2 linked regions of the Drosophila melanogaster genome follow. The protein of the gene in region 1 purifies or fractionates together with the protein of each later gene. This does not show direct contact. Each region holds a gene or a part of one and is shown in the gene's direction. Other genes may lie near its edges.

Region 1 (5,510 bases):
AAAGGGAAATAGAAAGAGACAGATGGTCGGGCGAAGAATGAGATGGAAAATGTGGGGGGAGCGCATCGAAAAAATAGAGAAAAATCAAGCGGATGGCTGGAATTTCATACTGTTGGCTTGGCAGAAGTGTGAGTGTGTTATCCTTTGACAAGGAGCATAAATGTGCGAGCTCCTCTCCAGCGTCCTTTGTACCTTCCGGCTGGGTGGCCAAGTCGATGTGTTGGCCATTTTATTATATTTGCTCTCAGACATTTTTGCCCTAATACGAAAATGGGATTTTAGGATATAAAAATTATGATAGATTACCGTTTCGCTCCCACACACCCAACTGCCATCCACCAATTGCATTTTTTTGCAATCGCTACACACACACTCACTACTATCCTTGTGTTTGTTTACACTGGGAAATTTATTCCAGCACGTTCTTCGGTTCTCTTAAAACTTACTAAAAACGGAAGCCTTTCTATGTGAAAACATCCTTAAAAAAGAAAACCACTATATCTGCTATATGGTAACTTAATACCCATGTTGATTTTTTATGTTATTTTCTCAGTGTTATCCCCGTCACATGCAACTTCGTGGAAATTGCGCTGGCTTAGCTGGGTAAAATCATTTGATGATAAAAGTGGCCCTCAATTGCCTTGTTGCTTGTTGCACGTCGTTGGATCTCCCCTCATCACGTTGTTATTAAATTGCAATGGCAAAAAGTTGAAAAAGCAATATGTGCAAAACATGGTTGAACTGAGCATGTGAAAAGCACTGGACTCGGAAAATCAGCTGACACACCTCTAAAATAGCAATCGCGCGGTTTGAGTGTTGTATTATAAAATGGCAAACTATCAATTGGTCATTGATTTTATTTTCTAACGCAGGTTACAAACATGCATTCCTAAATTGACCCACCAATTTATGGTGAAATAATGTAATTCATAACAAAAGGTGTTATTGTTACAATTATTATTATTATTTGTATTTGTATAATACAAAAGAAACCGTTAATCATAGATAAATAACGGTCGTTTTCAGAACTGCAGCTGGCGCCATCTGTTATTATTTATGAACACTCCAACGCAAACAAAGCTTTTAAGCTTTTATTACATTAACAGTAGCGCCTAAAATTAACGGCCAAATCTAGAGCTTAACGATAGCGCCATCTATTATATTTTAAGCGAACTATCACTTATCAGTAATGTTTTGCAATGCTAGGTTTTATGGTTCTGTTAAACGAATTTAAAAAAATATAAATTATAAAAATTTCTAACTGGAAATTTCCATTCGGAGTGGTTTTTAGTATTTTTTGGAGTTTCGCTTGTATAATCATTGTTATTGTTGGCCTCCTTAAGATACTTTCGTGGTCACTATTGTATGAACTAGATAGAATGAATCGAAATTTTAACAAACTACGATGTTATCTGTGGTTTTTAAAATACATATGTAGATAAGTTAATAATGGTATAGCGACATTCTTTGTTAGTTTTATATGCACACTTTACTTCAATAATCCAACAATTTTCTCGTATATGTCGATAATACCAATATTAATGCAGCCACGATTCCGCCGTATGGTTTTTTTTTACTGACTTAACTGAAATTACAATTGACCCTGGCAGCAATTGAAATCGTGTTGCAACTTTTCATACGACACTTTCGCAAATTTTAGACAGTAAACACAAGCCGACACTTCAACAATAAATTCGATATAGCAAACCAAACCCAGTAATTAATGTGTGTCATATTTGCACAATTGAACAAGATCTTTGAACATTAGTGCAATATATATTATGATTTCAACAGACAGCAGTGCAATAAAGCAAATCTAATTAAAATTCGAGTGCCACCCAGGCGACAAATGAAACAGCGGTAAAATCATTAGGTGATAAAATCAGAGTCAAAAGGCGAAAAAAGCCTAAGGATCCACCACACCGACTACCGAGTCCCCTTCCCCATCGTTTCAACTCAGTGCATTTGAAATGACCCGGAATTCATTGGATTTATAAATTTTTCTTCGCCACTTGCCAAGTGCAGCCGACTGGGACGCGATGGTCAGCAATCGAGTTGCCTTCTTTGAAAGCTGAAATTATTATTTTTTAATTGGCCAGCAACAAATTGCTTCATGCATTTGTGTGTGCCGCCCAGAGGTCACTGCGATTAACCAACCGCTCAGGTTTTGTGTGACTCCAAGTGAAGTACAACTCAGCGCCAAAGCTTCTCTAAGGCTGCAACGATTAATCAAATACGGTGAAACCCCGAAATGAAAGTCTTGCTAGATTAAAATTAAAAAGAGAATACAAACAAACCCATTTTTGTATAGTCCTTTTGTAAAGCATAAAAATTTACAAATTATAGTTAAATAAAACAGCAGATTACCTAATATCAACGTTAAATAGTGTTTAAAGTTATTGATTTTTATATAAGAAATAAACTAAAAACCTATTAAAAATGCATTTTAGATTTCATCCTTTTTAGCGAGGGGCCACTGTAGCCGTCTGGGCCTACCAAAGTGACTCAGTGGAGCAAATGTCGCGTGCTGCCTGCGTGCGGGTGCGAGCGGGAGGGCAGCACCGGACACTCTCCTTCTCCTTCTCCTTTGGGCCGCCCGCTGCTAGCAAGTTGCCTCCGGTGTTCGCAGAGCCGCGATTTCAGCGCGAGTTCAGTTTTTGATTCAGTTTCAGGCGGTTCGGAGTTGCTAAGTCAAGCGCAATAGCTCAAAATACACTTTTTTTAATTTTTGTTAATAACTGTTTTTAATAATTCCGGTGAAACATCGCGTGGTCAAGCGAACTGAGTTAATTTTCGCGTTAGAAAAGTTCACAAGTTTTGCGTTTACCAAATAATTAACTATAACTATTTAACTGGAGCTAATTTAACTGAAATTTAGAACCCAAAATGGGTAATTCCAGTTCCATTTGCGCCGATCGCAATGTCATAACAAATTTCGATGAAAATGGGTAAGAAATGAAATGGAAAAGTGAACAAACTGAAGCTGAACTCAAGCGATTGGCAAAAGAGGATTTCGAAAATGCGAGAGTTGGCCAAAGAGTTTGTGTTTACTAATGCGCAAACATGTTTGTAATTAATTTGTTTATTTTTATTGTTACTAAAAACTAATAACTGAAAGATTAGGAAATTATATTTTACATAAAAAAGTTATTTATAAAAAACCATTACAAATTCTTAACATTTTTTGTTTCGATACTTAATATATTTAAGTAGATCCTTTCCTGCAACTACAAGTTTTTTCTTGTGCAAATGCAAGCCAAGCCACCGCCCTCAGCCCCGCCCCTCCAATAATTTGTTTCTCGAGGTGTCATTAGTGGTCAATGATTCGTTTTACTAGTGTTTTATCAACGATTTACAGGCGACTCGTCGGCGTTGCGATAAAAAAGAATAACTTCTGACACACGCCATCGATAAAAAATTAGAGCACCACCTTCTTAATTAACGATTTTCGAAGTAAAAAGAAAAAAAAAAGTTAGAGCGACAGGTGTGTTTTGCTCACGAAGGTACTTGGAAAATGTAATTCGTTGGCAAAGCTGAAGTAAATTGTTAATATTTATGAAGGTTGCTCGGGCACACACACAAACATGTGTGATATATTCCAATTTATTCGCCTGCCGTGTTTTACTTTCAATTTTTGTGTAATAATTGAATATATCAAACAGACATCCGAGCAAAAGCGGAACGGGCCCACCGGTCGTATGAGTGAGTCAAGTGCAAAGTGGGGCGGGAACTGAAGCGATTCGGGACACTGAAGGTTAAGGTTGGGGTTTGGGGCTTCTACCTTGAGGCGTCTCTTTAAATAATTTATACTTAGTCAGATGCCACAAGTTCAGGAGGTATTATTGGTTTATATTTAACGCCATCGAGTCTAATAATCTCTAATAGAAAAGGTTCGGTTTATTTAATTCAAGTAATGCACGCACGTTGTACTTAAGTTTACATTAAAATCAAAGCTACTGATTATAAATAATAGTAGATAAGAAATTGCTAACTGCAATACTCTATAGTCTAATTTGAATACTATTATTTCGACCGCTGCTGTTCTCACGGAAACTTTTCGCATGCTATTCACGCCGCATCGCAATGTTTTCCAGGTCCCAGACAAATGATTTGATGGTAATAATCGTTGTTTAATGGCGTTTATATGTGCAGATAGTGTTTGCACCGCCCTTATCAGTCAGCTGATATACCCCACACAACTGAAACTAATCGGAGAGAAAGAGCCAAAGAGCGCGGAAACAAAACAAAATCGCAAAGTGTATACATATGGTGGTAGCAAAACAAATCGAATACTGCGGTTCAGTTCAGCACGAAAGCTGCAGCAACGCAGACAAAAGTCAAATACTCAGTGAGATAATTGTCGGCAAATCAATATACTAATAAGTATATAATATAGAAGACTTTTAAGAGCACCGCCATGTACTCGATCCTACGACGCTGTTCTGGTATCAGAAAAACTTTTGGACCGTGAGTCGAATGCAAGAATTTCAGAATAACAAGTATAATGTGGTGTCATACGATTGGACCACAGATCAAGAGGGTGTGTTTCTGAATTGGCAATAATCAGTGTCACTTTGGCACCACTTATCGGTTTCCATCTGGAAGGCGTGTCTGCGATGCATCGCCTCATCATATGACCATGCACATACGTTCAAACATATCAGCGCATTTCAAAGGTTCTGAAAACCTTGATAAGGAATCTGAAACGAAGAGTACCCACCCTTTAAGGGCCTCTTTTAACCCTAAATACCATTTTATTGCTCTACGACTTTTTGGCTATTACAAAAAGCTTTTTATGGTGAAATTCATATATTATTATATACTGTTATATAATATACTATTCAAATAAGATATATATACTATTAAAATGTAATATATATATTATTAACAATTGTTAGTGTGGGAACGTGGAGTGTGTACGATTAAAATTCAATTAAAAATGTTAACATCGGTTCTTTCAGAAAGAGTATCCGAATGTTGGTGACGAATTGGTTGTTATTGTCACTCCCGCATTGACATTCATTCACATATTGTCTGCTCTCTCTCTCTCCCTCAGCACGCCGGTTTATCCCACCGCCAACAATTCGCAGAGTCCTTCCTCATATAGTCGCGGCAAAGAGCGCGAGCTCGGCTGTTACACGAAGAGAAACAGCAACAGCAACAACAACAATAGCCATGAGAGAGAGAGTCAGAGCTGTTGTAGTAGTCGTGTGTGTAAAAATCATACGACCACAACGACAACCACACTCGAATACGAACTTTCCAATTTCGCAAAACTAACGACACGAATCACAACGCAAAGTGCCGCCGAAGTGGACACATCGCCGCATACGGATACGGAAACGCATAGGGACAGAGATTCGAATCCGGGTAATATAGCCTTAGCCACCGATTTGGAACTGCCCAAGGGTCTGCCGTTATCGTTATCCTCGCGACACCACTGGAATCAGCTGCAGAGCAGTTTGCACGCCCTTCACCACCAGCAACAGCAACAACAACAGCAACTACGT
Region 2 (5,510 bases), on another chromosome or scaffold:
AGAAACAAAAACCAGGCGACAAGTTTAATTAAACGATTTAATTTAGTTTTTACAAAGCGCGCAACAGTCTGGCAGATTTGCTAGGCTCAGTTTGAGATACAGATTCGATATGGTACTCGTAAATATATATATGTATATGTATTTTCTTGGGCTTTGGAGATTGCATCTAGTTCGCTTCATGGAAGAACAATTTGTGATGTGTATGTGTACAGTGCGATTTGACATCATCTTCATCTCTGTGTGGTTGTGGCTCCCTTGAGGGCGCAATAAGATCAACAATTAAGCTAATTCAACGATTCTGCTAAATACGAGTTATTGTCTCAAGTTGTACATACTTTATAGCCTACAGTAAGTACGTGAGTTTGCATGTGTGATTGAGTGGCAGTGCTCCTTTCCATTAAAACTGATTTTAATAACTGACATAACTGAAGCATAAAATAGATATCACAATATTGTATATTCTATCTAAAACAATAGATATCATTGAGAATACTGATACTGCTAGCGATAGAAATGAAATCACAATTCAATTTTATAATAAAACGAAATGGAATAAAAGCTATAATTGTTAGAAAACCCTAGACATTTCAACTATATCACTGCTCTCCATTCACACACACTTAAGTAGAGAAGCCAAGCGATTGGGGATACATGGGGAATAGTCGAGTATCACGATGTCATCTTTGCCGCATTAGCCGCGGCTATATCATCCCGGAAAGCCAGGAATCCCAGTTGGGCGTGCGAGGCCTCATTCAAGGCCCTCGATCGAATGCAGGCCCGATACTGATCGGCTGTCAGGGAACTGGAACAGATCTGTGTAAAAGAGAGAACTCGGTAGTGCAAATGGGCTGAAATTCGTTGCATACAACAGTACCTTGGTGTGCCAGCGGTGAAAGATTCCCGGGTCGGTGGCCCTGATTATCTTGATTTTTGATCGAACATACTTTCGGTATAGCATCACATCCTCGCCGCCCCAACCGACAATCTCCTCCTCGTCGAAACCGCGCACCTTTAGGAAGTTCGAGCGGTACTGGCACGTCATTCCGTAGCCAAAGTCCCGCCAGAAACCGGTGTCCCTCGATATCACCAGTTGCTCCTCTTCGCTGGGCAAGGGCTTGCCCTGCAGTGAGTACACCACATGCGGATTGTACAGGCTAAATACGACGGGGTAGTAGACCTAAGCGTTGAAAATAGATGTTAATGTATTAGTAATTTAAATAATAGCAGATATATTTACCTTCTTTCCAGGCGCTGCATTCCAGCGACAACGCTCCAGGAACTTGGTCGTGAACATAATGTCCACGTCGCACATGAAGAGCAGCACGTCCTCCTCAGCGGGTTGAATGTGCTCCGCTCCCAGTCTTAAAGCTTTGGCTATAAGCAAAATGGCTATTATTAACTACCAATATTATTTGTAATGCATTATAAACTTGCATATGTATTATGAACGAAACAAATGTAATATTAATAAACGAAACCCGTGCTTACCCCTACTGAAAGTCTCATTGAGTGCCAAAAACTGAGTCCTTTGGGATCGTCCAGCCAGGCTCCTAGCTTGCTCCAATCCACTGGTTCCAAAGTACACCACAATAAGCTCCAGGCGACGATCCTCTAGCTTGGCGAACATCTGCAGGAAGCCGCGAAAGCTGTGCAGACGTCCAGCCAGCGGTAGTATCACGTGGATTATGGGCGGACTATGACTTGGAGGGGCACCACTATTATCCACACTGGAAGATAGCTCCGATAGCTGCACCGTTTGCAGAGGAGCAAATGGTCGCATGACCAGGGCTCTCCGCACTGGACTCGCCTGGTGCTTGACACTCTGGAAGTACAGCTCGTACTGGGTGCCTGTGGTGGGTTCGTTGCGGTATATGCCCTCGATAAAGTCATCCAGGGTGTATTTGATCACATCCGAGGCGTAAGCCGCTGCAGAACCAGCTCCCTTGGCTCGTATTCTCGCTGAGTGATTCCTGTTCAGGCTCTCCAGCGCCTTGTTTACCGCCTCGATGAGGTCACGTCGTCGATAACCGATGGGCTTCTCCACCACGCGCTTTCCCAGGCCCAAGTCGATGGGATATACTCGCGTGAAGGTGAAGTGATTGTAGGGTATCAGCTCGTACTCGTTGTTCAGCGGCAGTCCATGCAGAATTTCTGCGGCGCCCACCTGCTTGCGAATATAGCTGCTGCAGTCGTAATGGTGACCCAGTGGTGCAGTTGGTGGCCCCGCGGTGGTTTCTTGCAATTGAAGACTGCCATTTGATGGCTTGGCAGTGCTGCGATTATTCTGTAGAAAGAGGATTTGAGTGCGGAGAGCCAGGACTTCCTGTTTCAGCCGCTCAATTTCCGCCTCTCGTTCGCTTAAGGTGTAACTGAATCCGCTGGATTCACTCGGATTATTGGCTTGAGTTTCCCTCGTCGTCAGTTCATCGAATCCGCACTTTGTGAGCACCACAATGGAGGCGCCGGTCAACAAGGCGAAGAGCAGCAAAAGCCGCAGCAGCAACTTGGTCACCAGGGAGTTATGCATTTTCCATAGTTTCTTACAAAATTTTCAACCTATTGAAAATAATAAAATAATTAGTTATCTAAGTGCAATAGTAAAATGCAAACACACATTTGAGACTGTAAAAAAAACTAGTAACGAATTATCACAAATTTTATACATTGCTGTGGAATTCTACATTTTTATTACATATTATACATGTACATGGCTCGGTAGAACAGTTTATTGGTTTTTGTCTCTGCTATTTAGGCAACAGTGCGTTATTAATAATTTTCGCTGATCTTTTGTAAAAGTATTAAAGATAAATCAGTTAAGAGCAAACAAAAATTTCATTTTGGCTTGCGGCACTGGTAATTTAAGTAATAAAATAAGATACAATAATATAAGACATTGATTTGAAATCAAACATCATCTGCAAGGAACTAAAGAAAAATGGAATGCAAGTGCTTGTTAACAATAATTTGTGCGCCGATACACATACTAAATATACCAATTCATGTTTTTTATAAGCTAGATAAGTATTATCTTTTTATATTTGCAAGGGGTTTTCAGGAAACATCGATAGTATCGATAAGGTATCGGGCTTGGTTCCAGCTCTAATAGTTCAACGGTCACACTGATCACAAGCTGATATTTCTATAAAAAAAAATAGTGCTATTTAAAAAGCAGCCGCAGTTTTCCGTGGAAAACCCGAAATACACAGCAGTATTCTACAGGCACATTGTCAAGGTGAGTGCTCGGGGGTGGTGGGTGGTTGGGGGTGGCGTTCCACCCATGTAAACAGCGTTTGTTGGCAGTGCGGCATGCAACAAGTTCTTTTTTCGAGCAAAGGTGATGGCATTCCTATAAATCGAGTGATTCATAGGCCGAATAGATAAGGCGTGTGCTGCGTTTTGTTTTCTTTTCTTTTCGGCCCTGTAATCTAAACAATTTCGGGTGTGTGTGTGTGATGGAACATGCATTCTCCCCATTTAAAGAACCAGACATCCAATAAAGGCCTTTCTCTGCTTCGCTTTCTTTCCGCAGCAAATTCACAATGGAGAACAACGAAGCCCCCTCCCCCTCGGGATCCAACAACAACGAGTAAGTGGTGGAAATCCATCGAATCAACAGGCTCAGCGCACAAAAGCAAGGAAAATCCCATACAGTGACGTCACCTGAGTCATATGGGCCACAGCGAACCGGAAGTAAAGTCTTCGGACTTCACTTTCGGACATTGGAATACCGTAAACGTCATGCTGCTGCCCAAGCGGTAGCTTCAGTTGTAGTTTGAAATCAATTAGGGTCATTAAAAGCATTCAGTTAAGTTGAGATATTGTAAAGTCAGTTGCTATCTTAGATGGAATATTAATGTGAAATGGCAAATTAACTCGAATAACAAAAAAGTATTAATTATATTCGATTCTAAATTGTAAAACATTTGCAAGTAGCTTATAATCAGAAACAGAATTTGCTTATTAATCACTTTATCGCAAATGGTAACTGAACATACTTAAGTATGTTTCATTTAACATCTATGAAAAACAAATGAATATTACTCATTTTATATTTTTTTTTGTCAATGGAATTTCAACAGCACTTGAGATTGTGAAGTTTTATTAGTCTATCCGAATTTAAGAAGAAAGAAAGTATTTATAGGACACAAGTCCCATTATTAAAACGTGAAAGGTGAATTGGCATAGATAACGATGGCATGATATACCAAGACTCGTGCTTTTGTGCGTTGCAGCTTGATGATCCATCTGCTGCTCTTAATAAGTGTAAGCAACCCCCACAAACACACATAATATTGTACAGTTTTCCCATACTTCCGCCACCGCCGAACGCGAATGACAACTACAATCAATTCGGTGACCATCAAATCAGGAACAACAATGCAGCCCAGAAGAAGCTGCAGCAGACCCAAGCCAAGGTGGACGAGGTGGTCGGGATTATGCGTGTGAACGTGGAGAAGGTCCTGGAGCGGGACCAGAAGCTATCGGAACTGGGCGAGCGTGCGGATCAGCTGGAGCAGGGAGCATCCCAGTTCGAGCAGCAGGCCGGCAAGCTGAAGCGCAAGCAATGGTGGGCCAACATGAAGATGATGATCATTCTGGGCGTGATAGCCGTTGTGCTGCTCATCATCGTTCTGGGTAAGCTAACCGATTTTATACCGCTTCGGCTTTTTGCCTCTTGCTGGTGCTTCTTTCTGGTTGCGGTTTTTCTCGATCAGGCTAAAGATCAGTAGTGTAGCTAGGTGGCTGGTTTGGTTTGGTATTGTTATATCTATAACGCAAGTCGACGCCCTGCAAACGCCCTAATCTTGCTCAACCTGTGGTTTCGGTCCTAACAACTTGTCCATGTGGCTTGCAGCTAACTAATCCAATAACAGATACTCCTACTCGTACTGATGACAACCCCTTGTGAATTTCTGTTTACTTGCAGTGTCGCTTTTCAATTGATACAATTAAACACACACTCACAGAAAAACAAAAGCAAAGCCAACAAAAATCATGTAATTCCGTTTCCCAATCAGCAAAGTTAAGGTTCAGATTAATCGTTTAACACGTTTGTGTACGTGTACTGGCTCCTACTATATACTCCTTAAATTGTTTATTATATTTTATAAAAGTCTTAAGCTAAGCAACTCTAAAGCTCTAAAGGTAATTGTTGTTCTTGTGCCTGTCCTAAGTGTTAATTATCGTTATATTTGTTTAGTCTGTAGTGTGCGAAGATTAGAACCTCCATGTCATACGTGTGTAGACTATAAAGTTCATACATATGTATATAGCTTCAGCAAAGCTATTAAGAAGTTAAAAATGGTTATATCTACAGTGCAATGTTGGGGCTAGGGCTCTGTTCTATGGAGAAATTTCATTTTAAAAAGTCATTTCGATTTTATTCAAATTAAACTCGCGTAAAAAGTATTAAATAAGAATGACAATACGAAATCCGTGCTGACATCGAAAGGTATGTAAGATAGTAAGCGGGAAGATAAAATCTGACTTTAAAAGTTGTTAATTAATAA

The links.
Region 2: the proteins of Men (region 1) and Syb purify together in Drosophila melanogaster (affinity purification with mass spectrometry, with the first as the bait; one large-scale study listed by BioGRID). This does not show direct contact.

What each region holds. Positions count from the first base shown.
Region 1 is NT_033777.3:12,719,574-12,725,083, reverse strand, and holds the start of Men (malic enzyme), read left to right. Parts: upstream 1-2,641; 5' UTR 2,642-2,886; coding exon 2,887-2,948; intron 2,949-4,299; exon of another isoform or gene 4,300-4,417; coding exon of another isoform or gene 4,418-4,467; intron 4,468-5,056; coding exon 5,057-5,510.
Region 2 is NT_033778.4:10,250,004-10,255,513, reverse strand, and holds the start of Syb (synaptobrevin), read left to right. Parts: upstream 1-3,096; 5' UTR 3,097-3,232; intron 3,233-3,341; exon of another isoform or gene 3,342-3,439; intron 3,440-3,529; 5' UTR 3,530-3,539; coding exon 3,540-3,586; intron 3,587-4,300; coding exon 4,301-4,635; intron 4,636-4,927; coding exon of another isoform or gene 4,928-4,944; exon of another isoform or gene 4,945-5,145; intron 5,146-5,510. Other genes in the region: Csgalnact (chondroitin sulfate N-acetylgalactosaminyltransferase), read right to left, coding at 670-813, 875-1,177, 1,238-1,374, 1,489-2,527. UniProt on the Drosophila melanogaster protein: Involved in the targeting and/or fusion of transport vesicles to their target membrane.